4 linked regions of the Elephas maximus indicus genome follow. The protein of the gene in region 4 purifies or fractionates together with the protein of the main gene of each other region. This does not show direct contact. Links are inferred from orthologs where the notes say so. Each region holds a gene or a part of one and is shown on either strand. Other genes may lie near its edges.

Region 1 (7,791 bases), on a different chromosome or scaffold from region 4:
TTGACAAGGGCGGATGGATATAAATTTGTGGGAAGAGAGGACAAGTTTGAATCCATGAGCATAAGCCAAACCTCTGGAGGACAAACTGGAACCCATGTTGGGTCTCACTGACTCCAACCTTGGTGGTGTAGGTGTCCTACAGGAGAAGCTGGAAGCCTTCATCATAGAGCTAAACACATATCTGGCTCAGGAATCAGGTGGAGTAGTTGAAGGCCCAGCTACTACCCCAAGTCAATGAGGTTAGCCAGCTCACCAGTAACAATATGCCTGGGCCACAAAGCTTCTGCCCCAACCTTCCAAGTGTAAAAAACAATATGCCACTGCTTTTCTTCTACTCTCCAAATCTCATTCAAGAATGTCTCTTGTGATCCGTCCTAAATAAAAAACATACATTAAAGGGAATTCTGGGAAATGTAGTTCACTCTACTCAAGATAAATGCACACACATTCACTTAAAGACACGTGCTAGAATGTACAATACAGTATATATTATTTTTGTGTTGGACTTCTTTTGCTTGATATTATATCTACAGAAGTCATCTATGTTGTTGTATGTATTCAGTAGATTGTTATTTGTTACTATTGTATAACATACCTGTCTTAGCCAGTGCTACTACGACAGAAATACCAGAAGTGAGTGGCTCAATGAAGAGAAATGTATTTTCTCACAGTTTAGGAGGCTAGAAGTCTGAATTTGGGACACTGACTCTAGGGAAAGGCTCTCTCTCTGTTGTCTCCGGGGCAATATCTCTTTCTGTTTCTGCAGCCCCTGCATTCCTTGGTTCCCTGGCAATTTCCATGTGACACCTACCTTCCCCTTCATTTGTGCTTACTTCTCTGTGCCTAATCTGCTCTATTCGTGTCTCAGAAATGGTTAGATTTCAGATACACCCTACACTGATAAGAAAACTCTATTCCCAAATGGGATTACAACCACAGGTATAGGGGTTAGGATTCCAAAATTTATTTTGGGGGGACACAATTCAATCCATAACAATACCTTTGTATGGATTAAAACAAACAAACAACCCCATTGCTGTCAAGTTGATTCTGACTCATAGCAACCTTATAGGACCAAATAGAACTGCCCCATAGGGTTTCTAAAGAGAGGCTAGCTGGTGGATTCGAACTGCCAACCTTTTGGTTAGAAGCCGTGCTCTTCACCACTGCACCACCAGGGTTCCAAGTATGAATAGAGCACAATTTATTTATTTTCTATTGTTGATGGATATTTGGGTAATTTCCAGTTTAGGGCTATTACAATAGCACTGCCATAAATACCTGTATACATGTGTCTTGCTGTATACTTAAGAGTGGAATTGCTGGGTCATAGGATTGGTATTTATCAGCTTTATTAGGCACTGCCAAACAGTTTTCCAAAGTGGTCATAGTTGTTTTTTATTATTAAAAGTAATAGAATCCAGAATACCATGCGTTTACAGCTGGGGAAGATGTCCTGTATGTGCTCAACTTACTCTCCTAACTCGGAGTGTTCCTAATTCCTTACCATACTGCCCCCATCTCAAGGAAGCCTGGCAGAGGCCTAGGGCTTCCCTCTAGTAAGGCCCTTTGCACAGGAAGTCCCAGGGCCTCAGCATCACGTTGATGTTGACACACCCTCTTCTGGGTACACAGGCCCATTGGGCAGCAGTGGGGCAACCATGTACATTAGACCCTGCACAAAGAGGTCATTTCCTTCCTTTTCTTTCTTCCTCTGGAGACTTTCCAGAACTATCCGTACCCACTGTGGCTCTGGGGACTTCCCTGGGAGCCTGTAGTATCCCCAGGCATGGGGAACTCAGTATTGCAGGTCCTTCCAGTTGGCCAGTGAACCAGACTGCCCACCACTTAGCAGTATGAAGAGTACTTGGAAGGGAGAATACCACGGCTGTTTTTGTGGGGTGTGCCTCCCACACGAAGCTGTGAGTGCTTTCAACTCCACAGAGCCTAGTACAGTTGCTTGCTTACCATATACACACAGTAAATATTTGTTACAAGGAATTGCCAGTAAGGAAATAGCCCCAGGCTGCTAGTCTGTGTGTTTTCCACAGCCCACACCAAAGATGGTTGTGAGGAGAAAGACTTCATAAAAAAAAAAAAAAAAAGGTAGGCGTTAACCTGGATTTGAAGGAAGGGTGTTTTGTGTATGAAAGGAGAGTGGGAAGGGCATTCCAGGTGGGAGGGTAGTAAAAGGAGGAGGGCAGGATCACAAAGTGAAATGCCTGCACAGACCTGGAAGGAAAAACAAAGGTGAGGAAACAGGGAGTGGTAGAGACTATACAGTAAATTGGGGGCCCATAGGGTCACTGTGAGTCTGAATTGACTCCATGGCAGTGGGCTTTTTTTTTTTTTTTTAAGGTGGTACAAACTGTTAAGAACTGGGTTATTAGCTTAAAGGCTGGCCGTTCAAACCACCCAGAGGTACCTTGGAAGAAAGGCCTGGTGATGTTTCTGAAAGGTCACAGTCATTGAAAATTCTCTGGAGCACAGTTCTACTCCGATACACACGGAGTTGCCATGAGTTGGATTAGACACGGCGGGTAATCAGTTTTGTTATATAATAAATTGGAGTGGCCCTACCACTCAGGGCCAGAGTTTGGTGCAAGGGCAGAAAGTGAACCTGTGTTGCTAAATCTGGTATTTCCAAAGAAGCCTAGAAATCTGGAATCCAAAAAAAAAAAAAAGCTCCAGGTAGGCTTAACAAAATCTGCAGGCTACTTTGGGCCCACTGTCTACCAACTTTAGGACTTGAGGAAAAGAATAAAAACCCTTTGCCATTGAGTCAATTCTGACTCATAGCGACCCTACAGGACAAAGTAGAACTGCCCCATAGTTTCCAACGAGCTCCTGGTGGATTCGAACTGCTGACCTTTTGGTTGGCAGCTGTAGCTCTTAATCACTACACCACCACGGTTTCTGAAGAAAAGAATAGAGATGGGAATACAGTTGGGGAGCACAGCAGGGCCCATGCGACAGGGGTGTAAGAGGGCAAAAGCCTCTGGCAGGAGTAGGTCACTTGGGATCAGGCCGTGGAAAGCTCCCAGTGTCGGCGGCGCTGGATGCCCACATCTCAAACGCCAGAGTGCGCACGATTTACCCAAGGTGCTGCTAAAAAGTTTGCGAAGCTCTGCTAGCTAGAGACAGTCGGGGGACTGTTTGGAGCCGGGGAGGGTGGCGGTGGAAACAATAGCTCAGGAAGATTAATTTGCCAACTGCATGCAGGCCGGAGATTGGGATATAGATTAGGGGCCGCAGCGAGCCAGAGATCCAGAGGGTGGAAGCCTTGAGGGCTCTCCAAAGGCCGCAATCCCGGCCCTACTGAAAGGAAGCGGGGCCCCCAGCCGCCCAAGCCATCTCCCCCCTAGTCACGTTGGAAGGGGAGCCCCAAGCTTTGCGCAGCTCCCCGCGGGCACTTGGGAACCTGTCTACCGCAGGCGGAACCGGAGGGCGGGGTGGAGGGGTGGGCTCACGGATGGGCAGGTGGGGCTGCTGTTGGGACCCCTGAAGATCCGAGAACCACGCCTCTCGTTCCCTCGCGCGGTGGAGGCGCCCACATCCCACCCCACGGCGCCGAGCTAGGCGCATCTCGCTGCCATGGCGACTGCCTCCATGGAGATTGAGAGCAGAGGCTGAGGTCCCCGGGGGCGCCTGCACAGTCTCTTCCAACCCCCACCCCCACGTGCTTTCTTTGTTCTGAAGCTTATTCCGGGCCGGGCGGGGCTCCGAGGACTTGTGTCAGGTCCAAGCAGGAGCGCCTCCTCCGAGGCAGGTGTATGGGGTGGAGGAGGAAGAGGCCGAGGGTCACAGGGGGAAGAATGGAGGGTTCCTCAGGGCCTGGAGGAAACCCTGGTGGTGTAGTGGTTAAGTGCTACGACTGCTAAACAAAGGGTTGGCAGTTGGAATCCACCAGGTGCTCTTTGGAAACTCTAGGGGCAGTTCTACTCTGTCCAATATGATCGCTATGAGTCGGAATCGACTCGACGGCGCCGGGTTTTGGTTTTTCAGGGCCTTTTGGGACAGGACCTAGTGATGCCCGTATCAGTTGCCGAGGAGGGCGTGGGAGCCTAGGGAGAAAGGTGACCTGCCTCTGAACCTAGCATTTCGGCCCAAGCTTTGTCCGACTGCCGCCCGAGGGTACAGGGTCCACGGAGGGCACCTCCCAGGTGGAGGCCAAGGCAGGAGGTGCAAGCTGCACCGCCGGAGGTGGGGCGGGGGCGGGGCCTACCAGGAGGCTCCTCCCACCTCCCTTTCCTTCTGCCCCTCCGGGCACCAGGCCTGGTCAGGACGGCCCGGCTGTCTTCATCGCGAGAACTCGCCGGGCCTTGGTTGGCTCGGACTCGCAAAGCGCAGTCGCGGCGCCTCCGGCACGTGACTCTGGCGGCATATCGCCTGTTGGCGGTTCTCTGGCGCCTGCTCATTGGTCGGCAGAGGCTCTCGCCCAGCCCCTCGGACCGACCAATGGGCGTAGGCGGAGGCGTGCCGGTGAGGCGGGCGGCGCGGCGCGGGCTGTCTGCTAGTGCTCTGCGCTGGGCCCCCGCCGCTGCCGCCGCTGTTGCCGCCGCCGCTGCTGCCGCCGCCGCTGCTGCCACCGTCGCTGCGGCTGTAGTCCTGGCCCAGCCCAGCCCCGGGGTGTGCCCCGCTTGGCGAGACTGACCTTCCTCTGCCGCCTGCCGGTTCCGCCTCGCTCGCCTAGATCCCCTCCCGGTCCCGGCCCCGTCCTAGGCAGAAGGTACTGGGGACCCCGTCGGCTGTCGGGGAGGGACTGGGGCGGGGGGCTCCATTGGGGGGGCCGGGCTCTGGAGAGCTTCCCGGGCCCCTGAGGTGGGGAGATGACAGAACCCGGAGACGTGGGTGACCGTTAGTTGGTGGGGCAAGGGTGTTCTCCGCGGGGCGCTGTTGGGGGCAGGGGTGTCACAGTGAGGGCAGGGGCGTAATGGGGTCAGCCCCGACACCCCCCCGCCACTGCCACCGCCTCTTTGTGTGACCTTGGACGAGTAGTAACTCTGAGCCTCCGCGGTCTCGGCACCCCTGGGAAGGGGAGCGGTGATATCGGGGGACGGGAGCTCCCAAGACTCCTGCGTCAGCCGAGGTGAAGGTGGGAAGCGCCCCAGGTTATCTCTGAGGGACAGAACCTCTGCCTCGCAGGGGTATAATGAGAGGACGTCCAGCGATTCTGTCTGCGAGAAGATGATAATGGGGCTGAATGGGAGCGCCACACCCACCAGGATGGCGGCGGGAGAGGCGAGGATACAGGGTCCTACGTCCGGGGCTCCTGGTGCCACTGCCGGCTCCTGGTGCCACTGCCGGCTCCCTGTGTCATGCACCAGAAGGGATTCGAACCTGTGTTGCGGTTAGTTGAGCAGGGGTTCTGCTGGACGGAGAAGATAGGCTTTAGGTTCCTTTCCTCTTGAATCTTGGCACTGGGGAATCAGGAAGGGTGTTTCTCTGCCCCAGGGGCTGAGGAAGGTCAGAGGCAGCTGTTTCCCCCTTCCCCTGACCCCTGGCCTGGCCTCTACTTGGGTCCCCAGGACCACAGGCCCAGGGAGGGGCCTGGGAGGGGCAGGCAGTCTGGAGGCTAGGGGAACCTAAGCACCCTCTAGCTGGGGGTGTGTTTATGAGGAGATGGAAGGATGCTGTACAGAGGATGGCAGCGCTTCTTGGGGAGACAGGAGGGTGTGGGATGGGGAGATCCTTTCCCCAGTTCAACATCCCCCCCCCCGCACCCCACCTTTTGTGAGAGAGAGAACACCCATACTTAGCTTTGCACCCTTGGCTTATCTGGAGGAAAGGGAAAATGAGGTCGCATCAAGACTGAGTTTATGTGAAGCCTTCACAACTACACCTGACCTCCAGCCTTGCCTTTCCAGGCCTTGTTCTAGGTATACAGGGACCCTGTTGTGTGCCCAGTCCTGTATCAGATCCTGGGAGTCAGGAGGTCACTGTGACCCTGTCTCAAGTCCTCCATGGGCAGCGATCCCTTTATAGGCCTGAGATTTAATGGGAGGCTGGATGGGGCTTCTGCTGGACTGAGTGTTTGAGGTTGGGAGGGGAAGGGAGAGGTGAGAAGGGTGGGAGGTTATAGAGTTCCTGGCCCAAAGTCCTTGGAACAGGCTGAGAATGGAGATTGAGGAATAAATGAGGAGCAAGGCCTTGAGAGGTTGGGGGCATAGCCCGACCACACAATGGTGGGGAGAACAATCTGGGTTGCCCCACGATGCCTTGGATTTGAGAGCTGTCTCTGGGGCAGGTGGTGTGGGGAGTACAGCTATAGGGGTGAGCGGCGGCTTCCTGAGCTCTGCTTTGCTGTGGATAGACTGTTGTTGCTTTAGCCCTTCCTCCAGTCCGCAGCCTTGGGCCCAGCACTGGACACCTGCAGTAGCAACTAGCGCCCTCCAGGGCTGGAGTCTAGGGTGCTGAGAACTCTGGGTTCCTGTGTGACCGTCCATCTGTCTGCCCACTTGCGGTGCCTGTGAGCCTGTTCCTCAGGCCAGACGCTCCCCTGGGCCTGGCTGAGTGCTGCCTGGGCCGAGTAGCCTGGAACTAGCCTTTATTTCTAAAGCTCTCTGTCCCCCAGAGGGGAGTTCTCCCCATTTTCCCTGAGAGCAACTGAGAGCAACAGAAGCCCTTAAGGTCCTTGTCCCAACTTTCCAGCCCTTCCTATCTATGACTGTTTAGGGTCCTACCCTTGACCTGTTGATAGCCCATCAAAGGCAGGGGCAGTTGTCATTTTTTTTATTTTTTGAGGGGGGCACCATGTTCCTCCCTGGTGGCATTTCCTAGGATGCACATTCTCCACATCTTCCTTGTGATCAGGACAGAGGGTGGAGACCCAGTCCGGATGGCACCTGGATCCTCTGGTTGGGAGGAACAGGGGCTCCAAGCAGCCTTCTCTCTGGCCCTGCTGGGGGCCTGGTTGCCAGGAGTAGGGAGGGCAGGAGGAGAGAAGGAGGAGGGAGGTCTTTTCAATCCTTGGGCTGTTTTCTGAGAAGGCTGAAGTCCCTGGAGCCTACCCTGAGGGCCCTTCCTGGCTGTTGCGGGAAGAGCCTGAAGCACCTCTGCCAGTGCCTTCCTGAAGTTGTTGTTGCTTCAGAAACCAGCCTTTGGGGTTTGCTTTCACAGAGGTGGGGGGACACGCTGGGGGAACGTGTCGTTACAGAGCTTCAGGCAGCAGCTCTACTTGCCGCACCCTGTGGGTTAGTGTTCACTGAGCCCTGTGAGGGAGAGGCTGCCGCTTATTCCTGTGTTACAGATGAGGAAACCAAGGTCAGAGAATTGAAGTTATTTGCCCCCAGTCACGTGGCCAGCAAGGGCCAGAGCCTGAATTTGAACCAGGACTGCTGGGCTCTGGAGCCCACGCTCCTGATCATCTCCCTATTGCCTGGGGGTGGGACGGGTGGGAGGTGGGAAGGACTGTGCCACTTGGGGCAAGCTGAGGATTGGGCTGACACAGGAGGAGGCTGGAGGTAGGGCCAGCCTTGGGCTCGCTTGGGGCCTAGTAGTTCCCTGGACAAGACCGTAGCAGGGAGAGGCCCACCCCCTCTATTCCAGCTTATAACGAGGAATTGTGTGTGGACAAGGGGCCAGTGATTGGCAAGGCCCTTTGCTGTGGAAGGAGGTTGGTCCTCTAGCCTTCTGGAGTCCCTGGGTGGCACAAGTGGTTAAGTCCTCGACTACTAACTGAAAGGTTGGCAGTTCAAACCTGCCAGAGATGCCTCGGAAGAAAGACCTGGTGATCTGCTTCTGAAAGGTCACAGCCATGAAAATCTCATGGAGCACAGTTCTACCTCTCAG
Region 2 (7,778 bases), on a different chromosome or scaffold from region 4:
ATACCACACGAGCATAAACCAATTGTACTGAAAGAAGAAGTTCAAGCTGCACTGAAGGCATTGAGGAAAAAAAAAGGCATCCAGGAACTGACGGAATACCAATTGAGATGTTTCAACAAACACATGCATAGCAGGCAGTGCTTACTTTTCTATGCCAAGAAATTTGGAAGACCACTACCTGGCCAACTGACTGGAAGAGATCTATATTTATGCCTATTTCCAAGAACGGTGATCCCACCGAAGGTGGGAATTATTAAACAATACCATTAATATCACAGGCAAGTAAAATTTTGCTGGAGATTACTCAAAAGCAGCTGCAGCAGTATATTGACAGGGAGCTGCCAGAAATTCAAGCTGGATTCAGAAGAGGATATGCAATCAGGGTTAGATGGATCCTGGCTGAAAGCAGAGAATACTAGAAAGATGTTTACTTGTGTTTTATTGACTGTGCAAAGGCACTCGACTGTGTGGATTATAACAAATTATGGATAACATTGCAAAGAATGGGAATTCCAGAACACTTAATTGTGCTCATGAGGAACTTGTACATAGATCAAGAGGTAGTCGTTCAAACAGAACAAGGGGATACTTTGAGGTTTAAAGTCAGGAAGAGTGTGTGCCAGGATTGTTTCCTTTCACCATACCTATTCAATCTGCATGCTGAGGAAATAATCTGAGAAGCTGGACTATATGAAGAAAAAGGAGGCATCAGGACTGGAAGAGGACTCATTAACAACCTGTGTTATGCAGATGACACAGCCTTGCTTGCTGAAAGTGAAGAAGACTTGAAGCACTTGTTGATGATGATCAAAGACCACAGTCTTCAGTATGGCTTTCACCTCAACATAAAGAAAACAAAAATTCTCACAAGTGGACCACTAAGCGACATCATGATAAACAGGGAAAAGATTGAAGGTGTCAAGAATTTCATTTTACTTGGATCCACAATCAACACCCACAGAAGCAGCAGTCAGGAAATTAAAAGATGTATTGCCTTGGGCAAATCTGCTGCAAAAGACCACTTTGAAGTGTTAATAAGCAAAGATGTTACCTTGAAAACTAAGGTGCGCCTGACTCAAGCCATTGTGTTTTCAGTGGCCTCATATGCATGTGAAAGCTAGAAAAAGAATAAGGAAGACTGAAGAAGAATTCATGCCTTTGAATTATGGTATTGGTGAAGAATATTGAATATGAATATACCAATATGAATATTGAATATACCAATGGACAGCCAAAAGAACCAACAAATCTGTCTTGGAAGATGAACAGCCAGAGTGTTCTTTAAAAGGAAGGATGGTGAGACTACATCTTACATACTTTGGACATGTTATTAGAAGGGCAGTCTCTGTAGAAGGACATCAAGCTTGGTAAAGTACAGGGTCAGTGAAATAGAGGAAGGCCCTGAGTGAGATGGATTGACACGGTGGCTGCAACAATGGGCTTAAGCATAATAATGATTGTGAGGATGGCACAGGACTGGACAATGTTTCGTTCCATTGTACATAGGGTCACTATGAATAGGAACAGACTCGATGGCATCTGACAACAACAACAACAAAATTTAAATTTAAATAGCCACATGTATGAGATAGCACGTATCTTCAAACAATCAGCTAAGTGTTAGAAGTGGGAGGTAGATTATGGACAATCTGAGTGTCTTAAATTATCAATGTTGTTTTAAAAACACTGTCATTCATTCTTTCAGTATATGTTTTTCTAGAAGTTTCACATTTTCAAAAAATAAACCCCAAATTCAACCAAGTTCTTTAGGCTGCTTTTCTGTATGAATCATCTTATTGCAAAGAGGTGTAAGACTGATTTTATTGCCAGCTCTGCCCCCTCTTCTACAGACAGAACTCAGTGATGGGGTTCTGCATTTATTTAACTTATTCTCCTAAAAAATCTGGTTTCCATACTGCAACTAAATGACAGGAACTTTTCCACTAAATTATCCCAGACAGCACAAATGCTCCTTCCAAAAGTGGAGACTGGAACCACAGCCCCCTCACATTGCCTGTTACATCTGTTTATACTTATAGATGTGACATCTACTACCTGGACAGAAAATGCCAATTTCTTGGGAAGGGCCCCAGAATTTGGTGAGGCTTGGGGAAAAGAACAAAAAACAAACAAACAAAAAAACTTATTCTTCAAATTAAAAGATATATAGAATTGGGTAGTTACAAGTCCTTCTGAATTTAAGGGAGAAGGATTTTATTCCCAGAGTATAGATTCTGTGTACAGAGTTGCCTGGGTTCATACCAAGCCATAACCATTTACTAGGTAATAAACCCAAACCCAAACCAAACCCATTGCCATCGAGTCAATTACGACATATAGAGACCCTGTAGGACAGAGTAGAGCTGCCCCAGAGGGTTTCCAGGAGCCCCGGTGGCGCAGCGGTTAATAACTATGGAGAACTATGGCTGCTAACCAAAATGCTGGCAGTTCAAATCCACCAGCCGCTCATTGGAAGCCCTACGGGGCAGTTCTACTCTATCCTATAGGGTTGCTATGACTCGGAATCAACTCGATGGCAACAGGTTTGGTATTGGTTTATAGGCCAAGGCTGTAATCTTTACACAAGCAGAATTTTTCTCCTGAGGAGCGGCTGGTAGCTTTGAACTGCCAACCTTTTGGTTAGCGACTCAACAGCCAAGGCCTTTAACCACTGTGCCACCATGGCTCCACTAGCTGATAAAGTTGAGGGTAAGTTACTAAACCCAAGCCTCGGTTTCCCAACTGTAAATACAGATAATATTAGTTCTGTTGAAAAGACTTGTGAAAGACTGAAATGGGCAAAGGATTAGTGGAAGAAATCCTTTTATCTACACGATCTTCCGGAGTTTTATCTGATTCTGTAGTAGCCTGCATCTTTGACTGACTTTGCTTATGCAGCTAAGTCAGTTGTAGAAACTTATGGTAACACAAATGACTTTTATCTGTAGAAATATAAATTTAGTTTGTCCTTGAGGGATACAATTAAGTTTTGTCCCATTTCAAAAAACCAAACCCACTGCCCTCAAGTCAATTCCGACTCATAGAGACGCTATAAGATAGAGTAGAACTGCCCCACAGAGTTTCCAAGGAGCACCTCGTGGATTTGAACCGCCAGCCTCTTTGGTTAGCAGCGGTAGCACTTAACCACTACACCACCAGGGCTTCCATTAGAAGAGATAACTCCAAACATTTCATTTTAGTGCCCTGTAGAATATTCCATCCCTTGTCTGTCAGTTTGTCATGCTGTGGTGGCTTGCATGTTGCTATGATGCTGTAAGCCATGCCATTGGTATTTCAAATACGAGCAGGGTTACCCACAGTGGATAAGTCTCAGAGGAGCTTCCGGACTAAGACAGACTATGAAGGAAGGCCTGGTGATATACTTTTGAACATTAGACAGTGGGAAACTCCTTATGGATGACAGCAGAATATTGTCCAATATAGTGCTGGAAGATAACTCCCTTAGGTTGGAAGCCACTACACAATGGCCGCAACAATGGACTCACATGTACCAACAATCATGAAGATGGCACAGAACCAGGCAATGTTTTGTTCTGCTATACAAACAGTTGCCATTAGTCAGAGCCAACTGAAGGCAACTAACAACAATATATTAACCAGTTTTGCTTTTGCGTGTTCTTCAGATTCTAATTTGAATGGATTGCAATATCTCAGTGGTTCCCTCCTCTAATTAAAGAATCTAGTAAAATTTTTGAGTACAAGACAATGGTGGTTCAGTAGCATAATGATCACTTTTCCTGCAGGAGACCCAGGCCAATTCCCCACCGATGTACCTAAGGCACAGTTACGATTGTCTGCCAGTGGAGGCTTGTGTATTGCTATGGTGAGGTTTCAGCTGGAGTTTCCACACTGAGACAGAGTAGAAAGAAAGGCCTGATAATCTACTTCCAAAAAATGAACCAATGAAAACTCTATGGATCACCATGGTCTGATCCCTTGTGAATGGGGTCACCATGAATCAGGGCAACTGAGGGGAGCTAACAACAATAAAGAACTTTTTCTTTATAAGAGTTTTTAGGAGGATTGGTTGAAAACTTTATATTGACAGTTATAATCAGTTTTATATTTTGTAGTAAGGTATAACACTGCCGGTATTTTGTGTTTGTGCAGGGGATGTTGAGCATTTATAAAAGCGTGGCTGGGTTGAAAAACACACCTTATGACAATAAAGTGAGAAGACACTCTCGTCCCTTTCCTTTTATCATTGGGGCCTAAGGTTAAGGACACAGCGGCCTAGTTGGAGGCCTGGGACGCCAAATGGCCTAGGTTTTGGCCCAGAATAGTGACCTGGAGTTTTGCATGCCCTAGGGTTATGGAGTTAACTACACACTCCAGACAAACTCGGGTTCCGGCAGCGTGAAGCTCCAAAACTGCACCAGTGCGGGAGACCGGACAGGCCCCAGAAGAGCAGGCCTGTCCCAGGCCCCAGAGGCCCCTAGCCTGCTGCCGGCCGAGGGGGTGGGGCGGCCTCGCCTCGGGCCGCTCCGTGCTTTTCGCCCTTCGTTGGCCGCCAGAGGCTCCCTCTCTCTCCCTCTCCTGGGATTTTGCTGCCGGGCTCCCTCTCTCTGCGGCCCTAGAGTTAATTCCATCAGCCGAGGTGAGGCACCTGTTACCCCGGGCCTTCCTCACCCACGAGGCCTCCCTCCATTACACCCCGGCCTCCCCGGGCCGCCAAACGGTCCGCCGCGGGTGACCGCACGTGGCCGAAGCCCCTTCCCCGGCCGCACCCCCACCCCGGCCACCCGAGTGTGCGAGCGCGTCCGTGCCCGGGCCGCCGCCCGCTCGCCCGCAATGGCGTTGGGGAGCGCAGCGCGCCACCCCGGGCCGCCCGCCACGGGCAGGGCGCGCGTGGGGGCCGAAGCGCGACTGGCAGCGGCCGCCGCAGCCGCCCTCCTCCCTGCGCCGTGAGGAGCCGGGTGGGTGGCGGGGCAGCGAGCAGGACGGCGCGTAGCCGAGCCGCGGCCACCGTGGGGTGGGGGGGCGCCTATAGGGAGGGGTGGGAGCCGCGGCGGCCCGACCCTCCCCGCCTGCGGCGGCTCCCGCTCGGGTAAGGGGGAGGCTGTGCGCGGGGCGAGGAGTTGGGGAGGGTGGAGATGAGGAGGAAAAAAATCGGGGATGTACAAAGGCTGAGTTGCAGGCTGCGGGTGGGGGTGGGCTGTGGTTGGGGAGCCGTAGGTTGAGGATCCGAGGCATTATCAGTGGGATCTATTGTTTCCTGGCACGTTGGGAGGAAAAACAAAGGGATTTATTATCATTACTCAGTAATTTTTTTTTTTTTTTAACGTGGCCAGGGAGCTCGGCTTTCCCTGTGCCACACTGGGATCCGCCTGGCAGCCGCCGGGAGCCGCAGCCAATGTGTTAGGACTTCAGGTGCTTCTTGGCACAAAGCTTGACTGCGACCTCCTACCAAAGCGCTTGGCGTCACCTGCTCTCCCGGCCCTGCCCCGGGGCCGAGGGATTGCGTCCCGAAACAGGCTTGGGAATCTGCTGCCTCTCAAGTTGGTGTTATTTATGTTTGTCTTCTTTTTTGTGAGGGCAGGTTTTGAATCCCCCGTCGGCCCTATCGCCCCCGCCCCCGCCCCCTCGGGTTGGAATTGGCGGGGGAGGGAGTGGGGTGTAGGGGGGAGGGGAGGGTGTTGTGGCTTAAAAAAAATGTAAGGGTAAAAGGAGATTGTCTATGCTTTAAAAAAAAAAGAAAAATACAGGCACCACACTCTAAAGCCCTTCTTGTTTGTCTGCATGGGCCATGCATGTGTACTGGGCCAGGAACTGAGTTTGGAGAGGATTTAAGTGAAAGTGTGTGCTTCTTCAGCTGATTGTGTGTTAAGGTGATGTGGCTCAGTCTAATTAAAAAAAAAAAAAAAAAGAACAAACCCAGACAACAACAACAGCAAAACAAAATAAAAAATCTAGAAACTCTGTTGTCTGCTCTTTAGCAGATTTTGGAGTATTTGATTTCTGGCATATTAATATAAAATCCAGCTGTGGGTTAGAGGAGACCAGCAAGCATGCATTGAATTTTGAGTTTGTAAGTCAGAGACAAGAAGGAATAAACAAATCAAGGCTATGAGGAGAGGTTTCATGGTGTGTTTGCTTTCTGGTTGTCACTTTCTCATACATTTATCCCCATGATTTTCTCCATCTCCTTCCAAAACTTCCAAATATTTGATATAACCAAAGTTAGAGTGAAACTTACTGATATTTTAAAACTTTCTTCTGCATGTTTTGGTCTGAAATTGTGCTAGTGTTGCTTTGGAGATGTTATAGATGAGAATATGAGACCAGAAAGAGTGAAGCAAGCATGGTAAGAGTTTGTAAACAGTGATTCCAAACTTTTAATTGTAATCAAACAATAAATTCTACCTGATTTTGGATAATCCCAAATGAAATTGATTTTATGGACAGTTTGATGACTTCTTAAGGATATCTGAACTGCTTTATTTTAAGGACATTAACAAAAACAACCAAAACTGGAGCTAAAGTATTGCTTTCAAGTGTACTTTGTTTAATTTGTATGCGTGCATGCCTCTGTGTGTGTGTGCCTCTGTGTGCGTGTGTGTGTGTATGTGTGATTTTGTTAGGGAGCTCCAGGTTGTGTTTGAAACATTTTTGTTACCAAGACCGGACAGAATTACAACTTTTATCTTCTTGACTTTTTAACTTTCCATTTCAATAAGTAATTTGTTTTGTTTGAAATATGGCAAGCCACTTTTAAAATAAAGTATATATTAATGGACTAAAAAACATTCAAATAAATAAATGAATTCAGAAATTCATTCTTTTCTGTTACAGATGAACTTCTAGTCTTGCTTTGAAAAAGCCATTTTGTGTTACTGTTGCCTGTGAATAATTCCCTAATACACCTGTTGGGAGGATCACTGACTGAGTGTGCCATTTGAGAGATACTTTTTCTTGGCCAAATACTGATGATTAGAGAAGAGAGTGGTTTTATATTTTTCTTTTTTTGATCATTATGAACATTGGCTTTTCACTTCTGAAGTAAAAATGTTGAAAACTGAGTCTTCCGGTGAACGAACCACTCTCAGAAGTGCCTCTCCTCACAGGAATGCATATAGAACTGAGTTCCAGGCGCTGAAAAGCACCTTTGACAAACCCAAGTCAGATGGGGAGCAAAAAACAAAAGAGGGTGAGGGCTCTCAGCAGAGCAGGGGGAGGAAATATGGCTCCAATGTCAATAGAATTAAAAACTTATTTATGCAGATGGGTATGGAACCCAATGAGAATGCAGCAGTCATTGCCAAAACCAGGGGGAAAGGTAGACCTTCATCTCCTCAGAGAAGAATGAAGCCCAGAGAATTTCTGGAGAAAACAGATGGCTCAGTTGTTAAGTTGGAGTCCTCTGTTTCAGAACGAATTAGTAGATTTGACACAATGTACGATGGCCCTTCATATTCTAAGTTCACAGAAACTCGGAAAATGTTTGAGAGAAGTGTGCATGAATCAGGACAAAACAACCGCTATTCCCCAAAGAAAGAGGAGAAAGCTGGAGGTAGTGAACCTCAGGATGAGTGGGGTGGGTCCAAGTCCAATAGAGGCAGTACTGATTCCTTGGACAGTCTTAGCTCTCGGACAGAGGCTGTCTCTCCAACTGTGAGTCAACTGAGTGCAGTATTTGAGAACTCTGATTCTCCCAGTGCCATCATTTCAGAGAAGGCTGAAAACAATGAGGAATACTCAGTGACTGGGCATTATCCACTGAATTTGCCATCTACTGTTACAAATCTTGACACTTTTGG
Region 3 (8,344 bases), on a different chromosome or scaffold from region 4:
ACCTAGGAGTAGAATTGCTGGGTCATAAGGTAATTCTGTGTTTAACTTTTGAGGAACTAACAAACTGTTTTCTACAGCAGCTGCTCCATTTTACATTGCCACCAGGTCAGGACTGCATATCCTTGGCCAACACTTGCTGTTTTCCATTTTTCTGGTAGTAGCTATCCTAGTGGGTGTGAAGTGGCATCACATTGAGGTTCCATTTGCATTTCCTTAATGACTAATAATATTGAACATCTTTTCACTTATGGGCCATTTGTGTATTTTATTTGGAGAAATGTCCATTCAAGTTCTTTGCCCGTTTTTAGTTGGGTTTTTATCTTTTTGTTGTTGAAGAAATCATACATTTGAATGGTTCAGGTCAGGTTGGCTCTGTGATATTTTTCTTTTCCAGCAGAGTGGTAGTCAGAGAGCAGGTATGGAGAAAGCCCATAGCTGGATTTATGGAAAGCTGTAGATTGTCAAGGTGGGCACACCTGAAGGACAAGGACATGCTGGTGAGAATGTGGTTGAAAGTCTTAGCCATGAGGCCCAGTCTGGGAAAAAAGTATAGACAAGAGTGCTGATAAATTGAGAGAATAGAAGCAGGTGGAGGAAGTAAAGGTCTTGCTAAGATTAGCAGGTGTGTTTAGGGGAAGTAAGGGAATGGGTTTGATAAAAGGACAGAGTTTGGGGCTGAAAATGGGTTTCTTAGTGTAAAGTGGAGTAGTGGTTAAGTGCTATGGCTGCTAACCAAGAAGTGGGCAGTTCAGATCTGCCAGGCGCTCCTTGGAAACTCTATGGGGCAGTTCTACTCTGTCCTATAGGGTCGCTATGAGTCGGAATCGACTCGACGGCAGTGGGTGGGTTTTAGTGTAAGCTTTCAGAGATGAAACAGTTCTGGGGTTTGGATGTGGGAATAGGTGGATAAAGGAAACGTGAGTTGGGAGCAAAAAAAAAAAAATCACAGGAATATGGCTGAAAAGTTGATAGAAAATTCTGATGACATTCATGAGAAACTGAAAAAAAAATAGCTCTCCCTGAAGACATTATAAAGAACAATATGTAGAGACGTCATTTTATGGACATTTCTCTCTTAAAACAATTAGCCAACACAATAGCAAGTTTCATATTCCAGATTTTTGGCTTGTCTTGAAAAGTAAGATGATTCTGGCAGCATTGAGCCAAGATTCCCTCATGGAACACGAAGATTCCTCATCAGGTTACCTGAGTCCCCATTGTCCATACTGCTGTCCCCAGCCCCCAACTGGCTAAGTGTCCGGTTGCTATTTATCATTATGCTCCTACCATATTTCTTGGAGTTAAGAGGTAAGTGAGATATTTCTTATATCCATGCCTCTATAAAAGCTGGAAAACCAAGGATGAATTGGGAAGGGTAATCCTCTATATTTGATATACAAAGTATATCAATGTTGAAAAATTACAAATTTTGATGCTATTAGGGAACAAACCCATGCAGCTTCACTCATTACATCACCTGCCTGGCTCCCACAGGCATTTGAGTTTTTGCAGTGGCTCCGGTAATAAAATAATAGTAGAAATGCAGTCAAATACATGAGAGAGAATTTATAAAGTGTTGTGATAAGCAACAGTAATTTTTGGAGTGAATCATATTAATCTATGCTGTTTTATTTTTGCTGATAGAATAATCTTATGAAATCCCTGCTAATACATAGATTCCCTCACAGTGCTACGTAACTCAACAGCCACAGAGAATGATTTAATGAATTCACACAGTTGTTCTTCAGTGGCTGGGTGGCACTGTAATTCCCTGAGTGCCTAACTTGTTCGCAACCAAACCCGAGTTGATTCTGACTCATAGGACCCTACAGGACAGAGTAGAACTGCCCCCATAGGGTTTCTAAGGCTGTAATCTTTGTGGAAGTAGATAGCCAAATTTTCTCTGCAGAGCTACTGGTGGGTTCGAATCACTGACTTTCCAGTTAGCAGCTGAGTGCTTTAACCACTGCAACACCAGGGCTCCTTTGGTAGAAGACAGCTCCAAGGAAAATGGGTAAAGGATCTTTATTGTCAGAAGAGAGGAAGAAGATGGAAGTGAATGTTTTTGGCAGGTCTAACTTGCCACACTCTTGCCCTGGGAGAAAGGCAATTTCTATACATCCCTTCATATTGAGTGTCATGATAAAATAAACATAATGCAAACCATAGGAGCATAATAGTTTAAAATCAACATCTTGGATTGACTCAGGAAGCAAATGGGACTCCAGTGTGGACCAGCACATTGACAGAATCTGCTATCTCCTTGCAGCAGTTTGGTCTCCCGCTTTCTGCTCAAGTTAGCTCTCACATTAAGCATGTGGAGAGCCATCGAATAAGAAGGCTCAGATATTGAACAGCGTCTTTAGAGAACAACAGGAAATCAAATGAGATCGAAGTTTGGGAAATGAAAACTGTCATAATACATCGAGGGAGAAAATAATCTGAAGGCCAAGTGTGCAGTGAGTCAGAAAAATCCGGACAGTTGTAATGTTAGAGCCTGCGAACTGGAAACTAGATAGGAATCCATAACCTACAAGAGTATGAATGGCAGCAAGAAGTCAGCCAACAGCGTCAGTGTTATTTTGGGAGGCCGAAGGGAGGATTTTATGGCCCAGCAGCTTGAACAGCTCAAGTTTTAGACATCTACTTAAAGAGGTAGACAAACTGAAGACAGTTTGGTGAAGAGTGACAATGATTAAAAGCTGAGACTCATTGAAATATGAGGAAAAGTTGAAAAGAGTTAAAACTATATACTGCTGGTATGATATGGATGTAAAATTTTAAAGACTTTTTATTGACTTTTAAAATTATGAAAAATTATTCATCAGAACCCAACCATTAGTATATGGATATAAGAAATAAATTGGCCCAGGCATCATGGTGTTACCCAGATTGAGCATTTTATTAATACGTTTTTGGTTTTTGTCTATATCTTATTGCTCTGCTCTGAGAGTTAGTCTGAAAGAACTATTAGAATTTGCTGAAGAATGACTATGATGTTTTGGCTCTTTTTCCAACTCTAATTTCTATGAATTTTAAAATGCTATGAAAACACTTCAGCAAGAATTCTGGCAAAATATTTACAATTTCTTCAATAACATTGCTCATGGAATAGGAGAAATGGCAAGCAATCACTTAGTAACTGCAGAGGACAAGCAGGAAGGAGGAGAAACAATTGCTTACTCTGCTGTTCATGATGGAAAAAAAAAATCTGAGTTTAGCTATTAAAAAGCCAGTTGGGAGCTGAAAATTGCCTGTGTCAGAGGAACACGCTGCTTCCCATCCCCGTATCGAAGAAACAGTGCCTACAGTTTGGCTGTTTGTGTGATGAAGAAGTACAGCAAGCGTGTGACCAGCGGCTTGTGGGAGACAAGCACTTACGGGGATAAAAAGAAACCTGGCACAGGCCTTGGGCTTCTGGCATCATTAGTTACAGGTCTGCCAAGATGCTTGGGGAAACATTTTAATTTAAATGCCACGTCTATTTCAACGAAGTCTCCCTGGTTTGACCTGTTGGGAGTGCAGAGTGAGATGGATAGGTGCTCATTTTGGAGGGCATTAGGGAATGAAATGGTGGCTTTAGAAAAAGCATCCTGGAGTTTTAAACCTCAATATGCCCCCACTCACCCCAGGAAACCCATTGCCATCCTTGTAAACTAAATGGCTCTCCTAGCATTATACTAGGGATTGGTCAATGTGTGGAGAAAAATTAGATACGAATGCAGAAAGGGCAGAAATACCTCCAGGCATTTACTCAAAATATCAAAGTTAGAGAACTTGAAGAATAAAGGCTCCAGCATTCTTTCCTTCCCCCATAGCAAACTTACCATTATGCTTTTAAATCAGATAAAGCAGATTAAGAATCTAATTTGAATTATTTGGATCTATTTTTTTGCAAAACTATCACAAGACAGAAAACACTACTATTTTTAAAACAAAACTAGAAAAGAAAGGTAGCAAAGAGATGGAACTGAATAAAAGAAGAAGACATTGTTGCCCATCGATGGGAAAATATTTGTTAGTGTAGGCCCAGGTTGGCAAGAGATGGATAGAAGCTCAATCGAGGGTAACAAAAACATGAATCCAGAGGATCAGAAGAATTAAAACGCCCCCAAGAATAACGGGAAGGTGTTGGATGCTTTCTAGGGCAAGAGTAGGTATGTATATGAACGTAAAACAGGTTTCCTCCAAGACTACTTGGCAGTTTGCTACACATCATGCTAATAACAAGGTCTTCAAGTTCATCCCCCCAGCAGATGGGATCAGCTTCTCCTTTGCGTCCTGCAGGAGTGTATTTCCCGAAAAGGGAACACAAGTTGGATCGAAGTGTAGGGTGCGACAGAAGGGTGTGAAGCTGGAGCCCAGGGAGCCTGGGATGGAGAGGTGGGTGGGGCTAGGCAGGGTGGGGCCTCAGGCCCTGTCAGGTGCGAGGGAGGTTTTTGTTCAGGGGAACGACGTGATCAGGGTTGTTTTAGGCGGACCCAGTGCTGAGGAGTTGATTCCGATTCATAGCGACCCTATAGGACAGAGTAGAATTTCCCCATAGAGTTTCCAAGGAGCGCCTGGCGGATTCGAACTGCCGACCCTTCGGTTAGCAGCTGTAGCACTTAACAACTAGCCACCAGTGTTTCCCTGAAGCCTGTTAGGGGGGACCAAAGGAACCGGCTGAGGCGTTACCCCCAAAGATGAGCCTGACCCAGGGCGGGGCCCGCAGGGGACTGGACCACCTGGCGTCACTGGGGGCGAGATTAGGCAGCGGGCTGGGAGGGATGGCGGAAATCAGTGAGGGGTGCCTAAGAGCACAGGATACGCTCTGCCTATATCCTCTGCTTCTCACCCCTCACTCCCGCCGCCCCCAGCATCTTTGCAACTAGTTGGATCAATTCACAGTTCAGGAGCCCAAGGAAACGGGATTGGTTTTAATACGTGAGATGGGTCTGCCCGGCTGGGGAAGCCCAATGAGGGGTCTTCCGGATAGCATTTTCCTGAACTGCTTGGGACGCTGTGAGTCGGACGGAGTCGACTCGACGGCAATGGGCTTGGTTTTCGTCTGGATGGCGGGGAGAAGCGGGAGGCGCAGCGGCTGAGCCCCCGAGGCCGGAGCTGCGCTCCAGGCCCCGTGGCCTGTGCGGTCGTTGCGCCTCGGGGCCCCGGGCGGGTGATTGGCAGTTGCGGCAGATCCACCGGAGGGGCGGAGGGTATTAAGAACTCGCGGCCGCCGCCCGTCGCCGTCCCTCGGCAGCGAGGTCGCCTTGGCCCGATGACCCGGCCGCGGCGAGAGCAGCCGCGACGGCGGCGACCTCGAGCAGGAGCCCGGCGGCGGCGGTGGGTCGGGGGAAGGAGGCGGGAGGGTCCCCGCGGCCTGTAGGGGGCAGCGCCGAGCGCGGGCGGAGATGGCCGCGGGCCGGGTGGGTCCGCAGTCCCCCCTCGGGGAGCTGCCCCTCGGGCCGCACCCGGGTCTGGGACCGCCGAGCCGCCCCTGGCCGCCGCGCGCTTCCTCCCCGCGCCGCGGGTCTCGGCAGGTCCCGGGGCTGGGGCGGAGAGCACCGAGGGGCCCGGCACGCGGCGGCCTCAGGAGTTGGGGTCCGCCCGGGGCCGCGTGACCCTCGGGAGGCGCCTCCGTGTGGCCGGACAGCGTTGGAGCGTCCGCCGTTTCCCCTTGGCCCTGCGCCCCAAGTGGGCGTCCTGGTCCGCCGAGTGGGTGCCCGAGCCCCCAGGGAGGGTGCCCCGTTCCCGCTCGGTGGGTGCCCCCGAGCCCGGGGCGGGTGCCCTGCGCCCCTGGGAGAGCGCGTGTTACCTCGGGGTGGAACCTCGCGCCCTTGGGCTGGGAGCTCCTTTACCCCGGGGTGGGCGCCGGGCCGCGCGGGTTATTTTTGGCGCCCGCGGCGGCGCGTGTGTCGGGGCGTGTTTTCCTTCCCCAGGTGCCGGGAGCCCGGCTCCGCCGCCGCGGGCGCTGACTCGGGTCTCTCTCTTCTCTCCCCTGCAGGAATCTTCTGATAATTCTGTCGCCACGACTTTAACCGTGCGCGAGGCGAGCTCGAAACAAACATCACATCTAAATTAAAAAAAAAAAAAAAAGCGGAAGAAGCAGCCGAGGCGGCGGCGGCGGGAGGAGGAGAGGAGGAGGGGCCGCGCGGCGGCCCGAGGCGGCGGCGGGGACGCGGGGACGCGGCTTTGTGCTGGCGGGTCGCGGGGCGCCCATGGCGGAGTGCGGCCGGGGGGGCACCGCCGGCGGGGCCCTGCCCACCTCCCCGAGCCCGGCCCTCGGTGCCAAGGGCTCCCTGAAAGCCGCAGCCGGGGAAGGCGGTGGCGGCGGGGGAGGTCGCCTCGGCCAGGGGCGGGCGCGCTATGACAGCGGCGGGGTTTCCAACGGAGACTGCAGCCTCGGCGTGTCCGGGGACGAAGCCCAAGCCAGCCCCGCCAGGGGACCCCGGGGAGCTGCGCTCGCCCTGACTCCCAGTCCGGCCGCTGGTCCCCTCCCCCGGGAGAGCAAGCCGGGCGGCCTGCCCCGCCGGAGCAGCATCATCAAGGTAGGTGGAAGAAGGGCGCTGATAGCCCACCCCCAGCCGGCCTCGGGGTCTGTTTCCACGGGGGAAGGGAGTGTAAGGAGGGAGATGTAGGGGGAGCCCACTGCTAACAGGAACACGGGTTGGATGCAAATGGCATTTGGAAAGAATGGAGAGGTGATCCCCAAGGTGCAGCGGGAGCTGTGTGCAGGCATCCCCAGTTAAACTTGAGGCTGTCACCTCTTGCAGAATTGGCCTGGAATTATGACCTGTACCTGCCTGGGCAGGGTATGCTCTGTCTCCGGTAGCCTGTGTTGGTAAAAGACACCCTGTGTATTTCAAGGACAGTTGAGGATTACGTGGAAACATTTTCTTAAAAATTCCAAGAGGTGAACAGAGATTATTTAATAGGTTTCTTCTGATTTGTGTATGTAGTTGTCTCTTGCAAATGGTTATATTTGGAGGGTACACAATCTATATAGTCATTCAGTCATATGGAGAAATGAAGTAGGTTTCTGAGCATAAATGCAGATTTCTGTCTTCTTGGGCTCAAAAGCCCTGAGAGATTACAGTACTACACGCTTTAATCTTTTCCTTACTGCAGTAGGCAGGCCTCCAGTTCTTCTGTGGAAGTTCTTTTGGGCAGTTTGCTCGGGTTTCTTATCTTTTGCACCGTGTTATTTAGCAGAAGAAAGCCAGCGCTTGTTTTGTGCATTTTAAACTCAAGAAGTAATATTTGAAACTCCTCAGTTTGTTGTGGTTTCCTTCTAATATTGCCCTTTGGTCGCAATGTAAAAATATTTCTTGTGACAGAAAGTGAAAAAAAAGTTGATGAGCTAGGAAGAGCAAAGCCTGAGGCAAGACTAGCTCATTCTGCAAGTTTGGAGTAAATATGAAAATGTGGCTTTCTCAAAATCAAGGGGTTACTAGGACGTGAGCAGTAAAGCACATTGACAGGGCTGCAACCAGACTTCCTGTGGCTGATAGCTGGTGGGAGAGAAGACAGAACGTGCCACAGTGAAGAGAGTTGACACTGGTGGTATGTGGAATTTAATTGGATCTGTAAGAAATCTCCCAAGTACTGTAAAAATGTCTGATGATGTTAGCAACTTCTTCAATCGTCTAGTGAAATATACCACCTTGATACACTCTATGTAACACAGTTGTGAAACTGCCTTTCGCCATGTCATCTGTTTGCACAGTTTATGTCTGGGCAAGGGCACAAATGAAGGACTTAAAGATCAAGTGTTTTAACTGCGTGCAGCACATGTTTAGAGTTAAGCTAAGGAAAGTAAAATGTGTTTTTGCTGCATACGTAGCTTTTAGTGACTTATATTTTCTTTCGCTCTGTGGCTTACGTTTCCGTGAAAGTTGCTTTCAACTGTGCATAGTAATCAATACCACTGACAGAGTTACATGTCATTGCTTTTGTTGGTTACCAAATATTTGTCATAATTTTGCTTTGTGGTGTTGAGTTAATGAACTTTGACATCAGAGTTCCAGAGAAGATACCAGCCTACCGATTTTAACCACCTCCTCCAATTTTTTTTTTTTTAGGGTTTATTATTTGCATTTAAAATGTAAACTTCGTTGGTGTCTATAGTGGGATTCATAGTGTAACTTATTTAGTTACAATCAGCATCTGTTTTAATTACATTCATGGGAGAGTAGAAAGAGGGTGATGTATCAGTATTTCTGATATAGGGAATTGAGAATTTAGGAGATATTTCTTCATTGAGTGCGCTGGAAGAACATGGGAACATGGTTAATTGTTCAGAAATCACTGGTTTTAGAAATGACGTTGATACTTTTATGGAATTCTGAAACTTTGACAGTTA
Region 4 (7,583 bases):
CCACTCTGAAACTGTCTTCTTTGATTGGTTCATCTGTTTCTGTCTGTCTCCTCCACTAGGATGGGAGCTCCATGAGGGCAGAGACTACATCTGACTTGCTCACTTCTATGTCCCCAGCTTCTCACTACGGTGCCAGACACATAGTAAGGCCTTAATAAACGGTGGTCAAAAGAGTATCTGCTGGCAACACAGTAGGACATTGAAATAAAGCTTCGCTTCACAAAAGCTATGGACTTAGTCAAGGGGATTCATCCATATTTTGTTTCCTGTGGTTCCCCACTTGGTACAGAGCCTTCCGGATAACCAGATAGGTCCAGACGTGCTGGCGAACCTCATCGTCAGCACTTCTTTCAATCATTTAATGATAATCCTTAGTGCTCACCAAATTGGGGGGGAATGGAAGGAAAAGAGTTCACCCCAATCTTCTAGATGGGAATTCAAATTTTCGCCCAGGGACCCAATGTAGCCCACAGACATGCTTTGTCTGCTGCAGACTGTGTCTTAGAAGAATTTGAATTCTTGACCAAATTTTAAAGATTGAAACATTTTACATAAAAATCCAAATTCTCCTGAAAAATCTGAGGATCTGGCCACACTGGGCCCATGTTCCCATTTGGCTCCAACAAACTGGAGCTGGGAAGTGGCCACCCCTTTAGATGGGATGTGGGTTCCCCAGTTCACTGCAGTCTCTACCCAGCCAGCTAGATCCCCCTCAAAGCCTAAGGATGGCTTACAGATATAATTGGTTTTCAAATCTCTTATTTTAAATTACTTCAAATGTTACACGAAAGCTCAATGTATTAAACAGATAACAGTGATAATGTTGTTCGGGTTCGTTGTGAGTAGCCATGGAGTCAGCTCCAACTCAAGGCAACCCCACGGACAACAGAAGGAAACATCGCTCAGTCCTGTGCCATCTTCACAATTGTTGGTATGCTCCAGTCCATTGTTGTGGCCACTGTGTGTTCTGAGTGCCTTCTAACCTCGGACGGCTCATCCTGCAGCATTATATCAGACAGTATTCTATTGTGATCCGTAGGGTTTCATCAGCTAATTTTCAGAAGCAGATTGTCAGGTCTTTTCTCCTAGTCTGTCTTAGTCTGGAATTTCCTTGAAACCTGTCCACCCTGTGTAGCCCTGCTGGTATTTGAAATGCAGGTGGCATAGCTTCCAGCATCGTAGCAACTCACAAGCCACCAAAGTACAACAAACTGACAGATGCGTGGTAGTAATAGTAATAATAAAGCCCATTGCCGTCAAGTCGACTCAGACTCATAGTGACCCTGTAGGACAGAGTAGAAGCACCTTATAGGGTTTCCAAGGCTGTAACCTCTATAGAGGAAACCCTGGTGGTATAGTGGTTAAGTGCTATAGCTGCTAACCAAAGAGTCCACAGTTCAAATCTACCAGGTGCTCCTTGGAAACTCTATGAGGCAGTTCTACTCTGTCCTATAGGGTCACTATGAGTTGGAATTGACTTGACTGCAATGGGTTTCATTTTTGTTTCTTTTTTTTAATCTTTATGGAAGCAGACTGCCACATCTTTCTGCTGTAGAGCGGCTGGCTAGTGGGTTCAAACTGTCAACCTTTTTGGTTAGCAGCCGCTGCTTAACAACTGCACTACCAGACCTCCTTTAATAGTAATAATAAACAAAAAAAATCAAACCCATTTCCAACTCATTAGCGAATCTATGAGTCATCGCTATGGTTCCAACTCATAGCGACCCTATAGCACAGAATAGAACTGCCACATAGGGTTTCCAAGGAGCGGCAGCTGGTGAGTTCAAACTTCTGATCTTTTGCTTAGCAGCCAAGTTCTCAACCACTGCGCCGCCAGGGTTCCAATAGTAGTGATAGTTAATATCAATTTAGCAGTTACTGTGTGCTGTGGCTCTGCTTTGGTTGACTTGAGAGGGCCAGGGACTAGAATCCTGTCAGCTCCCCATTTTCCTCAGCAGGAAGTTCATTTGAAAGAAATAAATTTTAATCTACTCTCCTCATTTTGCAGATAAGCAAACAGGCCTGGAAAGAGGAAGGGACACTCCATCCATTAGGCAATAGACTTTCTGGCAAATTCTTGCATCAGCAAGGGGGTGTGATGGGGTGGGAGGTGGAGGGTCGGGATGGGGGAAGAGTTCATCCCATTATCCACTAGGATTGATCTTGGTAGCAAAGACCAACAGGGAATCAGTTCTTTCCTCCATGAACTGCGGTTCCCAGGAGCTGCTCAGACCTTCCCCTTGAGCTCAGGCCACTCTCAGGCTTGGAGCCAGCTAATTCCCTCAGGCATGTGCCAGCGAAACTGGGCTCTGGAGGGAGTTGCCCACGCGGAGAATGGCGTGTGGATAGAGGCCCTCCCAGCGTCCCAGCCCAGTCTGAAGTTCTCCTACAACCACGTGATGTCGACAGAGACTAACACACCTGCCACTTTGCATATGGAAACTTCCAGCAGTCTTCTTGTGGCTCAATGCATCTTTATATCATTCCATTGGGTTCTCTATCTGTGAAGGGGCTGCTGTGTGCCAGAATCGTGCTAGGTGCTCGGGATTCACTGAATATGAACAAGGGCTTTGGTTTCAGGATGTCCCACCCTGACTCCGTAACTTACTAGCTGTGTGACCTTCAGCAACTGACCTAGTCCTCTGTGCCTTACTTCATCTGTAAAATGCGGATGATAGGAATGGTACACAATTCCTAGAACTGGCTTGGGGATTCAATGAGATGTTTTGGCACGTACTAAAAAACATGAGCGCAGTGTTTGTGCTTTTCCCCACTGCACTTATCAGAAGCTGGTATTTTTATTTGCGTCTCTGTTTATTGTCTGTCTGGCTAACTAGATGATGTTCCATGAGAGAGGGACCTTGTCTGTCTTGCTCACCCTTGCTTCTCGGCCCAGAACAATGCCTGGCACAGAGTAGGTGCTCCATAAATATTTGGCTGCCCAATGAATTGCCGTCTTTCAGATTCCTGCGCTCATTGCCATTGCGATGACGCGCCTTGCCCTGGAGCAGCCCAAGGTCTCGTGGACTCCGGCGTGAGCCACCCAGCCCTCACCAACCAGCTGTTCACAGCAGTGCTGGGCACCGACTTCGAATGTCACCAGTTGGGCTCAGTGCCCTGGACTGACAAGGGACACTAGTATGACTTGCGGCGGACACAGTCACAGCACGGGAGAATGAGCTGGCGATTCCGGACAGCCAGGAGAGCCCCACACTCCAACCCCCCGGCGACAGTAGTGGGTGGGGGGGCGCCCAGGTGCATGAAGCCAGGGCCCCCAGGAGCGCACCGCTTCCGAAGATGGCTGCCCAGGTGGCGCCATCACCGCGAGGGCATTTGGGGATGGGAATTCCTGCATCCTGCGTCCCTTGAGAAATCAAATTAATTTCTCGGAGGAGGGGAAGGGCTTTCCAAACTGTAAAGCGTTGCAGGGAAAAAGAGATGTGCGGAAAGGTCAGGAAAGAGAATGTTTGCTGAGTGTGGGCTGCACTTCAAAATCCAACTAAAAGCCATGCGCAGCCCCCGGAGGTGCCACCATCTCTAGCCCCCACGGAGAGGGATGCACCTTGGAGCTGTTGGGAAGCGGGAGGGGAGTGGCCCGAAGTTTCACTGGGGATCTGTAGAACCCGGCCCCAGCCCGCACTGCCGGCCTCTGCAAACTTCTCTTCCGGCCTCAGCTCCGACGCGCGAAATCTGCAAACTCTCCCTTTATCTCCTGTGCACGCGCTCTTTCAACTTCGCTCTGGCTAGAATCAGGGTAGCCGTTCCGATGATTATGTAATTGCCGAGTGCAGGAAAGATAATCTAAAGACAGGGATGATGGATTTTTTTGTGTGTGTGTGTGTAGATTTTTAAACATCTTTTTTTTTTAATGTAAGTGTCACAAAAGTGCGCAGAGAAATAATATACAACACCCATATTTCCCACCGCTTAGAATGAATAATTGTTAACATTTTCTGAAGGCAAAATAAATCAACATACATCTCTTTATTATCCTCCCTCTCCACCCCCATCCCCACACCAGATTTATTTTAAAGCATAAATTCCAGAACCGCATAAAATCCGTTGCTGGACATCCACGTGGCCAAGTCTACAAACACGTGGCCCCAACGAACACAACCCTGCGGAAGCCGCAAAGCTCGGAGCGCACACGTGTGTTCCGCGCCCCCTCTCCTCGCAACCCCAACTCCCGCGTGCAACTTTGCAACTCACGCTCGGGCCGGGGGGCCTATTTGGTCGACCCGTTTGGCGGAAGGATCTGCGTGAGGGCCCAGTCACTCTCAACGGTCTCCTCCCCCTTCCCGCGCTCTGGCCACGCCCCCTTCCGCGCCCGGGCCCGCCCCCTCCCGCGCGCCCTATGGCCCATAAAGAAGTCCCGGTCGGGCCGCTGCACTCCCCCGCGCGCATCCGTGCGCCGCCCGAGGTTGGCTGAGGAGTCGGCGGCCATTTTGTTCTTCTCGTGGTTCCAGTGGGGAGAGAAGGAGGAAGCAGGGAGCGGGGCGGCTGGGGGGACCCGCCGCGGCTGCTGCCACCGCCGCCACCACTGCCTCTGTGCTCGTGGCGTGGGGAAGGAGTGCGAGTCCCGGGCGCGAGCCGGCGGCGGCGCCGCTGCGGGAGGGTCGGCGGTGGGAAGGCGATGGCGGATATAGACAAACTCAACATCGACAGCATCATCCAACGGCTACTGGAAGGTGAGAGGGACGGCGGGCGGCTGAGGGGAGGCGAGCGCTGGGGCTGTGGGCAGCCAGGGGCGCTCGCGGGAGGAGAGTTGGGGGGCCGGTTGGGCTTGCAGCACTGGGGGAGCGAACCCGCGAGTTGGCCGGCGGGCCGGGGGCTGCAGCTGGAGGGAGGCCGGGCCGGGATCCCGAACTTGGCTCAACCCGCGGCCCCGCTCATTCATTGCACGAGGTTGCAGTCTTTTTCTTGGCCTGAAATTTGAAAACTTCGCATCGCACCCCCACGTTTCCCGCCCCTGCCCCTTGAGCCCCGCAAAGTGGACCAGTCTTTGCAGGAGAGAAGGTCGGGGGCTCCAATCCAACCTGCAGGACGGCGGGTTCCGGACTTTAATCCGGCCAGGATCGAGTTTCTGGTACTTTTCTTCTCAAAAAGCAATTTGATGGGGTTGGGTTCCACCAGCTTTGGGGGCTTTTTCCTATCTTGCTTTATTTTTATCAGTTCCCCTGCTCCTCAAGTGTTTTAAGTTGTTCTTATGCTGAAGAGATCTCCGCGCTCTTTTCCTGAGCAGGAAAGCAGCGAGGGTGACAGTATCGTTAACATCTTTTCAAACGTGCCAGGTTTTAAGCGCTGTGTTAAGTGCTTTGCGTCCATCAAATTACAATAATAGCGCACACTTCTAAAGCGCTTACTATACGTCAGGCATTCTATGAGCACTTTACACAGATTTCACTTAATTGTCCCCACAACCCTGCCAGGTGGGTGCTATTTTTTTAATTTTTTCCCCCGTTTTACAGAAGAAACTAAGGCACAGAGAAGTGAAGTCACTTCTTCAAGGTCACACAGCTAGTAAGTGACAGGCTTCAAAGCCAGGATCCAGAACTCGCTACATTCAGCTGTCACCCTATAGATGACCCTGTGTGCAAAGGAAAACGGAAGGTGATGTCCCATGAATAAACTAAGGTTAAAACAAAACTTTAATTTAACCTAAGGTTTGAGGTGCGTGGTAATGACTCCTATTGATAGGGAGAGGGATGAGGTTCAGATTTTAAAGGGAAAGCTGAAATTGCTCTGCCACCTTCGGGTTCGGAAGCATGTCCAGTAATACAAATATCTCATCCCAGACTTGGGAAGAATTCAGCCACATAATTTCCTTTTTTGATCTGGGCACAGGGTATTGTTGTCAGTTTGGCTGAGTTGTAACTGCTTTTTGCTTGATACTGCTGTCCTCAAATAGGGTTGAATTTGCATGCACAGAGTGCATGCTAGAGCACGAACAACTGGGCAAAGTGGGTTTTGCAGATCTTTTGAAGTCATTAAAATGAAATGCCTGAGAAAATCTTTTCCTATTCTTAATCAGTGCCTTTCATTTTTCTTCTGTTCTACAGTATTTTGTAGCTTTCTTAAAAGAAAACTCATTTCACGACCCCTGAAATGCTCTTGAAATGTCACCACCATTTGTGGGTGAAAACCTTGTCATTCATTCAGTGCTTATAAGAACCAGAGACTAAAAGATCAAATACTTTTCATGTTATTTAGTACAGTTCTTTGATTGATATGAAGCAGTAGTTGGTCGTTTTGGCAGTGAAAAACGAACGTTTTGTTAAATATTTTTATTTCAGTTTTTAAAATTAACTTCTGCACATCTGTGCAGGGGTGTATGGCTATATTAGAATGGCTTTATGGTGGCACAGTGGTTAAATGATTGACTGCTAACCAAAAGGTAGCTACTAACCAAAAGGTCGGCAGTTCGAATCTACCAGCCACTCCTTGGAAATCCTATGGGACAGTTCCGCTCTGTCCTGTAGGGTCGCTGTGAGTCGGAATATACTACTCTCTGGCAGTGGTTTTTTTGGGGGGGGGGGTATTTCTCAGAGAAAAACCGAAAAAATTAGAATCCACATGGATTAGAATTTTAAGATAATTTAAATCTTGAAGTTCTGGTTTGCCTGTAACACTATTCACCTAACAGATTTTGGTAATTTTAATCTTAAAAAGGAAGAAAATTGTGCTAAGAAATTTACCTTCATAAAATGGGCCCATCTAAAATGAGATCAGTCATCGTTTCTTAATTCCTAGGTTTTTTCCAATGAAAACGAAGAAAACAGAACATTTTAATGCCTGAGGAATAGGCTAGCTGCCCAGTATTCTTAGATTTCTTTCTTGTGGGTGTTAAGATGGTAGAGAAACTGCGCAAGATAATTCATCGAGGATACGCATACATCCCAGTTGGGAGACGTTGATAATAAATTTGGTAGTGTTTGTAATACATATTTCAAAAGCCTTTTTCCCTAAAACTTTTAGTTAATATTTCAGTATATGTGAAAATGAGTTTTGTGGCCTTGTGAGACTTCTTTACATGTTCAGAATTATCTGATATTTAAGGTCCAGGACTGTGCAGCTTAGCTTAGAAGTAACAAAGGGGAACTCAAAAGTGAAGTCCTGTTTAAGAAAACTTGGTGTTGATTTATACCTTGGTCCTTACGGCTTTGCCGTTGTCTGACTGTGAACTTGGAGTAGTTTTTCCTGAAGCTGGGCATCACTTTTGCAACCCACCTGGGAAGGTAGAAGCTTTTATCTGAGCTCTGCCTTGCTGATGACAAAACCTTGAAGTGGTTGTTCCTTAGTATAAATGATGCTCACTTTTTACAGAACTACGTAGTAAAAGCGTGCATGGGGAAATTAGAGACAAAAGCAATCAGCTGTTGATTTGGTGTGATAGTCTATGTGTTAGAGAAAAGACCGAGTTGTGGCACAGTTGTGCTTTGTGAACGACCTCACTCAAGGAGCAGTGATGGTCAGCGCTTTTCTTGCATAGCAGCCGGCTGTGACTGATTCCACAACCTGGTTTGCTTTAAAAATGGCCATTGTCGGACTTGAAGTTCCTCTGGCCAGGCTCTGTGTAATTGCCT

What was found.
Region 1: the proteins of PPP1CC (region 4) and ADISSP purify together in Homo sapiens (affinity purification with mass spectrometry; 5 studies listed by BioGRID and IntAct, counting the BioPlex papers as one, with this or other methods). This does not show direct contact. The link is inferred for Elephas maximus indicus from reciprocal best matches to the Homo sapiens genes PPP1CC and ADISSP.
Region 2: the proteins of PPP1CC (region 4) and PPP1R9A purify together in Homo sapiens (affinity purification with mass spectrometry; 6 studies listed by BioGRID and IntAct, counting the BioPlex papers as one, with this or other methods). This does not show direct contact. The link is inferred for Elephas maximus indicus from reciprocal best matches to the Homo sapiens genes PPP1CC and PPP1R9A.
Region 3: the proteins of PPP1CC (region 4) and PLCL2 purify together in Homo sapiens (affinity purification with mass spectrometry; 3 studies listed by BioGRID and IntAct, counting the BioPlex papers as one, with this or other methods). This does not show direct contact. The link is inferred for Elephas maximus indicus from reciprocal best matches to the Homo sapiens genes PPP1CC and PLCL2.

Annotation. Positions count from the first base shown.
Region 1 is NC_064843.1:42,367,889-42,375,679, reverse strand, and holds the start of ADISSP (UPF0687 protein C20orf27 homolog), read left to right. Parts: upstream 1-4,504; 5' UTR 4,505-4,729; intron 4,730-7,439; exon of another isoform or gene 7,440-7,791. UniProt on the Homo sapiens protein: Adipocyte-secreted protein (adipokine) that acts as a key regulator for white adipose tissue (WAT) thermogenesis and glucose homeostasis at least in part through activation of protein kinase A (PKA).
Region 2 is NC_064826.1:64,809,094-64,816,871, forward strand, and holds the start of PPP1R9A (neurabin-1), read left to right. Parts: upstream 1-4,475; 5' UTR 4,476-4,618; intron 4,619-4,872; exon of another isoform or gene 4,873-4,937; intron 4,938-5,000; exon of another isoform or gene 5,001-5,068; intron 5,069-5,312; 5' UTR 5,313-5,519; intron 5,520-6,813; 5' UTR 6,814-7,026; coding exon 7,027-7,778. UniProt on the Homo sapiens protein: Binds to actin filaments (F-actin) and shows cross-linking activity. Binds along the sides of the F-actin. May be involved in neurite formation. Inhibits protein phosphatase 1-alpha activity.
Region 3 is NC_064845.1:23,278,566-23,286,909, reverse strand, and holds the start of PLCL2 (inactive phospholipase C-like protein 2), read left to right. Parts: upstream 1-5,232; 5' UTR 5,233-5,325; intron 5,326-5,394; exon of another isoform or gene 5,395-5,740; intron 5,741-5,797; coding exon of another isoform or gene 5,798-6,055; 5' UTR 6,056-6,092; coding exon of another isoform or gene 6,093-6,200; coding exon 6,201-6,530; intron 6,531-8,344. Other genes in the region: atherin-like, read right to left, coding at 362-476, 5,798-6,055, 6,093-6,202. UniProt on the Homo sapiens protein: May play an role in the regulation of Ins(1,4,5)P3 around the endoplasmic reticulum.
Region 4 is NC_064840.1:9,270,737-9,278,319, reverse strand, and holds the start of PPP1CC (serine/threonine-protein phosphatase PP1-gamma catalytic subunit), read left to right. Parts: upstream 1-4,415; 5' UTR 4,416-4,633; coding exon 4,634-4,688; intron 4,689-7,583. UniProt on the Homo sapiens protein: Protein phosphatase that associates with over 200 regulatory proteins to form highly specific holoenzymes which dephosphorylate hundreds of biological targets.